Rattus norvegicus: one gene and its partner. The protein of the gene in region 2 interacts with the protein of the main gene of each other region in a biochemical or structural test. Links are inferred from orthologs where the notes say so. Each region holds a gene or a part of one and is shown on either strand. Other genes may lie near its edges.

Region 1 (4,488 bases), on a different chromosome or scaffold from region 2:
ATAGCACCGGCCCACTAGGCCATAGGTCAAAAGCCTTTTTAGCAGAGTCACTGGAGAATGCCTGAGATTCCCTCTTTTTACTGGCCAAGTTAAGAGTTATCTTTTCCCTAACCTGGCTTCAATGGAATTTCTGATATCCAAGCTTCATCCAGCCTTCTCTTAACTGTGTAGAGGACAATGTTAGCCACAACACAGCCAGATGTCTGCATCTTTAGCACAGCTTCTAGCAGCTAATGCCACCCCCTCCCCAATGAGTAAGTCACCAAACTGGGACAGGAGGACAGCGAGGGTTAGCTGGACTCTGGCCCCATGACTACCTCATAAAAGCCACCAGTGATTACAGCGATGCGGAGGCTGTGCGGCGTGCGACCATTCCTCCTTCCCACTTCCCTGTAAAGGGAGATAATTTGCTCAGGCCAGTTGGCTTCAGAGGACCTACAGAGTCTTGGCCAAGGTCTCAAGGTGTGGGGAGAGCCCACCACCACAGATCCACAGTCCTAGATCTGACCTTTGCCAACAGCCTTGGGCCTGCCTCAGATTATCAGTCCCATTAGGGAACCTGGACAATACCAACTGTACTTGTGACCCATAGTGTCCCCCTCGCCTGCAGCTCTTCTGTAGGCCACACAATTGTCTAGGTAAGGGACAGAGAAGTGGAGGCAACAGAAAAAAGCCAGCCTACCAACTCAACTCTAGTGTGGGTGGCAAAGTGTCCCAAGGACCTGCACTAGGCCAGAGCAATCATGGAGGACAGGAAACTCAGTTGGCACAGAAGACAAAGCTGGGAAGACGGACAGAGGTCCAGGCCAAGGACATAAGGGCCAAGGATGCTGCAGCAGAGGCCCCTTTCAAGAGCAGGGTCAGAGTGGGGCCTCAGTGAGCTTAACCCTGTCCCCTGGTCCAGCTCCAGACATGGAGAGACTCCCTCTACCTTTCCCAACACACCACCAAGGAAGACCAGGAGAAGAAAGAAAAAAAAAAAAAAACCTGCTGGAGAGAGATTATATAACGGCAGCCAGCCAGCCTGTCACATCGCCCAGCCTATGAGGTGCACTAGAAGCCAGAGAGCCAGAGCAGGGAACTGGGGCCCTCCAGCCCCATATCACCACACAGAGGGGGATGGGCAACCTGCACCTGCCTCCTGTCCAAGTCCCCCACACCCTGTTCCAGGCACTGGGCTTAACAGAGGCAGCACAAGCCCTGTGCCCATCCCCCAACACAAGGCTTCCCATACTTTCTGGCTGGGTCCTGTTTCTTCTCTAAGCTCAGGCCTGCATGAGCAAGGCTTGTATGTCTTCATTCTTAATCTTAAGAGTCCCTGCATGAAATATGTGACAGAGAGAGGGAAGACCAAAGTCTGATAGAAAATTTGAAGTGTGATCTCAAGTAAAATGCTCTACCACTTTGGTAGGTATGGGAATGAATGAAAGCTGCTGACTCCCTAAAAGTACATGCAGCAGTCACACACAAGGTACTTGTATGAAGGGCACAGGAGTCACAACAAAGACAATGACCACTGAGATCCCAAAGCCTCTGTCCATTTCTGGGGTATATGGGAAAAGTGCTCTACAGAAGCTCCAGAATTCCCCAACCACCCTACATAACAAGGTTCTCAGCCACTCCCACATTCATCCCACCCCACCCCCATCCTGGAAGACGCAGGAAGGAAATTCATTCACAGGCAAGGCCATGGGAGCTGGGACAGCCAGGCTGAGCACTGGGGCTTGGTGGCCAGTGGCCAGAAGCTGGCTGTCTGAGGACACTGACAGGTACCTCACCAAAGCTCCCCTCCGCGGATACCTACCGCGGATACTGAGAGAACAGAAGGTGGACAGCTCCCAAGGCCAAGTGCACTCAGTAGGCTCCTCTCCGAGATTCGGCCAGAGCAGCCCAAGGTCACCGTCCCAGACGGCAAACTTCCCACAGTCAGGCAGCTCAGACCCACTGAGGGCTAGGGGGAGGGAGAAGATCCACCACTCACACAGCTAACCCGCTAGGCCTCAGAAGAAACTCACACGGGTAGGGAAGGGTACCGGATCCAACCACTGTACTCCCCTATCCTGGCCCCAGTGCGCCGGTCAGTCGTAGGCAGAACTGGCACTCAGGACAAGCTGGGTAGTCCAGGGCCACTGGGAACCCCGAGGGCTCGATGGAATCTCTGGGAGGCCTCTCTGCCCCATCTCTGCGGTGGGAGGCCAGAAACACCGTAGTCCCTTGGGCCAGCCTCACCGCTCGAACCCCACTCGCACCGACTCGGCCCGCACCGCACCAACCAAGGGAGGCCTGGAGAGGTCCTGCCAGATGTTAACAGCTGCAAACTACTGTCCAGGGGTTCTCCACCTGGGGTTGCTGACACGCCCGATCAAGGGGGTCCCCACGGGCGCGAGATCGCGGCCGGAGCCACGTGCGTTGAGCCCGCCAAGGCGCGAGGCGGCGGGGGCTCGGGTACCAGGCGCGGCTGTCACAGCAGACACCCCAGCACCACCACAGCCTCCGCCGCCCCGCTCGGCCCGGGACGCTTATGCCAGGGCGCCCGTACACCCCTCGCGCTCCAGACCACCCTGCGCCCGGCCGCGCGGCATGGGGGAGGGGCTCTTAAAGGGGCCGACGCGCGTCGTGACTCACCAGCCCGTGGGGGAACGGGGTGTCACGGCGCCGGGAGCTTCGGCCCGGTCCGCGGAATCCTCGGCTGCGCGAAGCCGCAGCTCGGACGGGGAACAGCGAAGGCGCCGCGTCCACGCGGCCTGGGCGGCGCCACAGGGCCGGGACCCCCTGGTGCGCGCGGGGGCGGCGGCGGCGGGCGGCGGGGACGCAGCCGAGCGCCCAAGCCGCCTCGACGGTTGTTGATATTTTGCTTCCTTCCTCCTTTCGGGCTCCAAAGGCAACTCCTCCAGCCCCAGACTCGAGGCCGACGTAGGCACAGCGCAGCCTAGCTTGCGAGATAGAAGGGGAGGGGGGAAGACTAGAGTGATGGACAAGCAGGGGGCCAATGGGAGGCCCCCGCGGGGCGGGGGGCGGGGCCTGGCTGAGAGGCCTGGGACGCAGCCCCGCCCCTTGCCCTCGGCCTGCGCCCCACCCCTCCGGGGCGCGCGACCGCGGCCCGTGGAGCCCAGATCCCTCCGCCTGCGGGATGGAAGGAGGCTGCGGGGAACCTCAGCACCCCAGCCCCAGAGTTGGCAGGGGTCTAAGGGTAAATAAGTTCTGGGGAGATGAGAGTTTTGGAAGGACCCAGCTTCTACACTTACTGTGTGACAAAGCTCCGATGCCAGATCGCGTTCTCTAATCTGGTGGTTACCTGGGGAGCTCCGCTGCTCCCTCTACCTGTGACAGGTCCCCTCCTTTCCCCTGACCCGGCTCGGTTGACGCCCAGACATTTAAAGCGACAGTGCATAATTCTCGGGTGATCTAATCTGCTTTTAGTGCCTGCGGGCTCCAGCGCACTTAACTATGGAGGGGGCAATTTAAAGGGGCGGGACCCCAACCACCACCTCCCTTGCCTCACAGAAAACATCCATCTTAAACATCTTGTCTTAAAGAAATTGCACCTCTAAAAAAAATCTTTTTAAAATCCCTGATGGCCTCTGGGCGTGGTGAATTTTTAAGTGCTTCACAACAAGATTGTGCGCATTGCTTCTGGACATTAACCCGTCAGACTTCCTGTCCAGCATCCTGTCACTAACAAGTCCTCCGCTGGCTCTACCTGGAGCTTGAGGAAATGACAGAGTCTGGCGTGGACTTCAAAGCTTTGCAAAACAGAAGCACCGGGTTCTTCAACAAGCTAGGATCTGCTTTACTGAACAAAGTCCCCGATCTGGTTTCTTGTGGGAGAGACAAGAAGAGGTGACAAGTGGTGGGTTAGAAAAATTTAATCTTGAAGCCAGACTCTTTTGGTTCAAAATTTTCCACTATTTACGAAGAGAGCAAAGCACATTTCTTAACTCTCCATCCACTTGGGTAAGCTGAAGGTGGTGAGGACAAGTACATAACTTGTGAATTTGGTGTGAGTTTAGTTCCCAGTAGACTAAGTACAGTGAGTGCCTCATGTTGTACTGTATGACCCACACACGCTGCTCAGCTGAAAATGAGCCCTGGGTGAGTTCAGAATAGGCGCTTAGGGAACAAGTTCAATAGGACTATTCTGCAAAGAGCTTGGAGGCATATATGTACCTACTTAAAACAGGAAGCAAGTAAGCTCCTATTCCCTTGGCCTCCCTCTTCAACCCCTCCACTTTGCCCCTCCTTCCAGAAGCCTGATTTATATAGTCTCACACATGGTACCCAAATGTTGCTCCTTAGTTTCCCTAGTAGTATGGGGGTGGGGGGGCACTCCCAGCACAGAGCTGCCAGTACTCCTGAGCAGTCTGTCTGGTTTGCCCCCAAGACTTGAGTAAAGGCATCTGCCCTTCCCCAAGCATTCGGAGAACACAGCCTTGTTCCTGCTGTGGCTATGGTGGGAGCAGAATGGGAAAGTGCCCTCCCAGTGGGGAA
Region 2 (4,457 bases):
ACAGGAGCAACAAGATGAAGTCCTCAGTAAGAGATCCGCATCGTATGCAGGGAAAATTGTAAAGCACAACTCAAAGTGTGAACATGAATGCAATGGACTTCTCCTCAGGTAGGGCTCAGCTATGCGAAGGTGTCCCAATAGAAACACCAAGACAAGATGGCACTAAGCACCATTCAGAAAAACCTAGGAACAAAGTATAAAAAAAAACCTTCTAAGAAGGGTATAAGCTTTAACCAATATTATAAACACAAAATATACACACACAGTAAGCCATTAGTACACACACAGTAAGCCATTAGTACGCACAGTATATTAGCACAGGCTACATAAAGCCTTAATGGCTGAAACTAGAGGTACCAACCAGTACATGCAGCAACAAAGAGATTAGGTCCAGAACTGTGTTCAAGTGTGTATGTGCTACGGTTTAGGGTCAATTTCAGCCTGCTCCCCAAAAGGTTCCTGGACCTCAGTGGGGCAACGCTGGCACACAGTGTGACCTTGAAGAGGTGGTGCTTATGGTAACTCGGGCTTGGCAGGCAGCAAACACCGTCACCAGCTTCGAGGTGGCTAAGATGGTAAAGGAACCTGAGTTCTATCCCTGGAATATGCACAAAGCTGTCCTCTGACCTCCAGTTGCTGCTGTGGCACTCACGCCCCACACACCCCTCAGACAGAAGAGAACCTATCAATCAAATACTTTTTTTTTTAAAGCTGGGCTTGCTGTCCCATCATCCCAGCATTCAGGAGAAAGAGGCACTGGGAGACGGTGCAAGTTCAAGGGCATCCTTCTCACAAAATTTACTTCATCATATACTTTAGCCACATAGCCTGAAGATAATTTTACATAAAATGTTTAATAACTTGTACAAGAGTCAAAGTTTCATGATGCAGAATTTCCACAGTCATCTCTGCACTCAAAGAGTTTTGGACTTGGGTGAAATTCAGATTTTCAAATTGGGGTGTTTAATCTATAATCATTTATCAATTCCCAGCCTAGCTGTTGCAGTTTTCTAAGAATAACACATTAATCATTTTAAATTATCAAGACAACCCCCACCTCTTTCTTTTTTCTCTTTTTTTTTTTTTTTTTTTGGTTCTTTTTTTCGGAGCTGGGGACCGAACCCAGGGCCTTGCGCTTCCTAGGCAAGCGCTCTACCACTGAGCTAAATCCCCAACCCCCTTCTTTTTTAAAACACAGAATTTACGTAGCACCAGCTGACTGGGCCTGGACTTGCTATATAGACCAGGCTGCCTGGAATTTACAGAACCACATGCCTCTTCCTCCTAAGGTCCGAGACTAAAAGCATGCACCGACATAGAGGGTCTGTTTCCAAACTCTTTGAAGAACAGTTTCCATTGCTCAAGATCATAATAAAGAAAAGCACTTTAAGCCCCTCAGAACTGTCATCCAGTTAATGATAAGCAACAAAGGGGCCTCCTAGGGTCTAGGAGCCTGGGGATCTTTTTTGGGGGGAGGGGGGAGGATAAGGGAGTTTTCAAGATAGGGTCTCGCTATGACTGTCCTGGAACTTGCTCTGTAAACCAGGTTGGCCTTGAACTCAGAGATCTGCCTGTCTCTGCCTCCAGAGAGCTTGGGATTAAAGACACAAGCCACTACACCTGGTGTGATGGTTTGCATATGCTTAGCCCAAGGAGTAGCACTATTTGGAAGTGTGGCCCTGTTGGAGGTGTGTCACTGTGGGCATAGGCTTCAAGACCCTAGTCCTAGCATCTTGGAAGTCAGTATTATGCTAGCAGCCTTCAAATGACAATGTAGGACTCTTAGCTCCTCCTGCACGAGGCCTGCCTGGATGCTGCCACAGTCCCACCTTGATGGTAATGGACTGAACCTCTGAAACTGTAAGCCAGCCCCAATTAAATGTTGTTCTTATGAATTGCCTTGGTCATGGTGTCTGTTCACAGCAGGAAAATGCTAACTAAGACACCCATCTTCTGGCAGTCTCAAGTTTAGGGTAGAACTGTGTGTGCGAAACTGACTTAGCCCACATGCCCCTCTCCACGTCCATTCCCTCTATGATGTGAAGTTCTGAACTAGACATGGCCTGTAGGTTCTCCATCCACTGCTACTGTACAGCCCGAGAGAGAAGGATGGCTTTTGTTTTGTTTTGTTTTGTTTTTACATTTATAATGAGGAAAGGGGCTGGGGATTTAGCTCAGTGGTAGAGCGCTTACCTAGGAAGCGCAAGGCCCTGGGTTCGGTCCCCAGCTCCGAAAAAAAAAAAAAAAATGAGGAAAACAACCAACTGACCAAACCCTTGGTTCATGAAAATTACACGAAAAATATTTCCATTCAAGTTTCAGTATCTATAAATAAAATTATAGCGACACACTGTCTGATATATTGTCTTTGGCCTTCTTCATGAAACATAATTGAGCAACAGTCATCCCAAATCTAAAACACTTACCATTAAAAGTATTGGTTATTTTTTTTTTTAGTATTGGTTATTTTTAATTAACTCTACAACATATTATAAAATATATCTACAAGAGTTTGTCAACCCCCGAAGGAGACCATTCTAAATTCTATGTCTAAGCACAGTAATCAATCACATAGAAGGAACTTTACCCACATGAGGTTCAATAGGCCACACTGCTGACCTCTAAGAAGTCACATCTTGAAGAGTTAAGCAGCCCCCAAATCCACAAGTGCAGAAACGTGAGAGCGCCAGGTAAAGTCGTTTTACCTGCCTCCTCCATAGAGGGTGTTCAGAAGAATGGCTGCAGTCAGAGTAAGCCGCACCGGAACTTTAAGTCGTTTAAAACCTTCCCTCAGCCTCAGTTTCCACTCCTATAAATGGCATTAACACCACACTCACCTCTCTGGGCTGCTGTGAAGGTGAATGAAAGGACGCACAGAAAGGGATGGCTTCGAGCTGCGGTCCCAGTGACCCACCCTGGGCGCCTCCGGGCGCAGCGGCGGGGCGCGCGGAGGAGCAGGCGTGGCCAGAAGGTCCTTGTCAGCGCCTTCGGGTCTCGAGCCAGGCTTCGGCCCACCGCGCCCGTAATGGAGAGCGGGCGTCGCGTGTTCCCACCTCCTCGCGCTCACCGGAGCCCTGCACGGACCTCCGAGCCCTCACTCCCCGGAACTCTTCCGGCGTCTCCAGGGCAACGGCCGGAGCACCGGACTCCTGAGCGCGACGGACCAACAAGGAACGCTCTCATTGGCTGGAGTGTGGCCTTGTCAGCCAATCGGAGCGGGTGCCTGAGCCACTTACTGTCTGGGCCGACCAGCAGGTTCATTGAAGGCTGTGTGTGTCTGGCGCGCACATCGGGAAGCTGGCTGGCTGCTTCTGCACTCTGCTACCTACAGGACTTAACAGTTTTGTTTTATTTGCTTTGGTTTTTGTTGTTTGTTTTAAGCAGTGTCTCACTAGTGCAGCCCGAACTAGCTTCGAACTTGTGGCTATCCTCCTGCCTCGGTCTCTGGGTTGCCAAGGTGGACCCCACCCACCCATCACACACTACTACTTGCACGCGTGCTTTATGAACTCGTGTTTGCAAACTGGGCCCCCCGCAGTCACCAAAACAAGGGTATTGCTGCCAAAGACCTGGAGCAGGTGTTCTGAAGATAATGAAAACCTAAGTGACACGCTGGCGGGACTACATAGGGCCCAGGCCAAACCTCTTCCGCCTGGTCTGGAACTCGGTATTTATGGTTTATCCTCGAACTCACAGAGATAAGCCTGCCTGTCTCCCAAAGGCAGGTATTAAATGTATGAACTAGAGTCGGACTGAAAGAATTAGAAACTCAAATGGCTTTAATACAAAAGAGCATGGGAGCAGACTCGCTTAAGAAAAGTGTCAGAGAAGATTGCCAGGTTTTGAGTTGAAAAATCTCCCAATAAGGAGAATTAATGAAGCTCTTTGGGGAGGAGCTCCTTGCTACTGGAATTTAAAGTGGCTAGTGACTCCAAGGATGATTTAGATAACCATAGTGGGCTGGAGAGACGGCTCACTGTTAAGAGCACTGACTGCTCTTCCAGAGGTCCTGAGTTCAATCCCCAGCAACCACATGGTGGCTCACAACCATCTGTAATGGGATCTGATGCCCTCTTCTGGTGTGTCTGAAGACAGCTACAATGTATTCATGAAAGAATAAATATGGGGGGAAGAAGCTGGGAGCTGGCTCAGCAGTTGAGAGCACTGGCTTCTCTTCCAGAAGGCCCTAGTTGAATCCCAGCACTCACACAACCGCTCACAACCAGCCTCTTCTGGCTTCTTCTAGCACTGCACAATGTGGTGCACAAGCCATACTTGCAGGCAAAACACTCGTACACATAAAATGTGTTCAAAGGATTCATTTTATGTAAGTGTATGGTAGCTGTCTTCAGCCACACCAGAAGAGGGCATCTTTAACAATGAATGTTACAGCTTTTTTTTTTTTTTTACCATATTTTAAGAGTTTGAAAACTTGTTTAAAGCGAGGCATGGCGGCA

The links.
Region 1: the proteins of Cabin1 (region 2) and Mef2d form a complex in vitro, tested with the Homo sapiens proteins (2 studies listed by BioGRID). The link is inferred for Rattus norvegicus from reciprocal best matches to the Homo sapiens genes CABIN1 and MEF2D.

What each region holds. Positions count from the first base shown.
Region 1 is NC_086020.1:175,902,793-175,907,280, reverse strand, and holds the start of Mef2d (myocyte-specific enhancer factor 2D), read right to left. Parts: upstream 2,950-4,488; 5' UTR 2,626-2,949; intron 2,155-2,625; exon of another isoform or gene 1,805-2,154; intron 1-1,804. UniProt on the Homo sapiens protein: Transcriptional activator which binds specifically to the MEF2 element, 5'-YTA[AT](4)TAR-3', found in numerous muscle-specific, growth factor- and stress-induced genes.
Region 2 is NC_086038.1:12,891,427-12,895,883, reverse strand, and holds the start of Cabin1 (calcineurin-binding protein cabin-1), read right to left. Parts: upstream 3,092-4,457; 5' UTR 2,838-3,091; intron 1-2,837. UniProt on the Homo sapiens protein: May be required for replication-independent chromatin assembly. May serve as a negative regulator of T-cell receptor (TCR) signaling via inhibition of calcineurin. Inhibition of activated calcineurin is dependent on both PKC and calcium signals.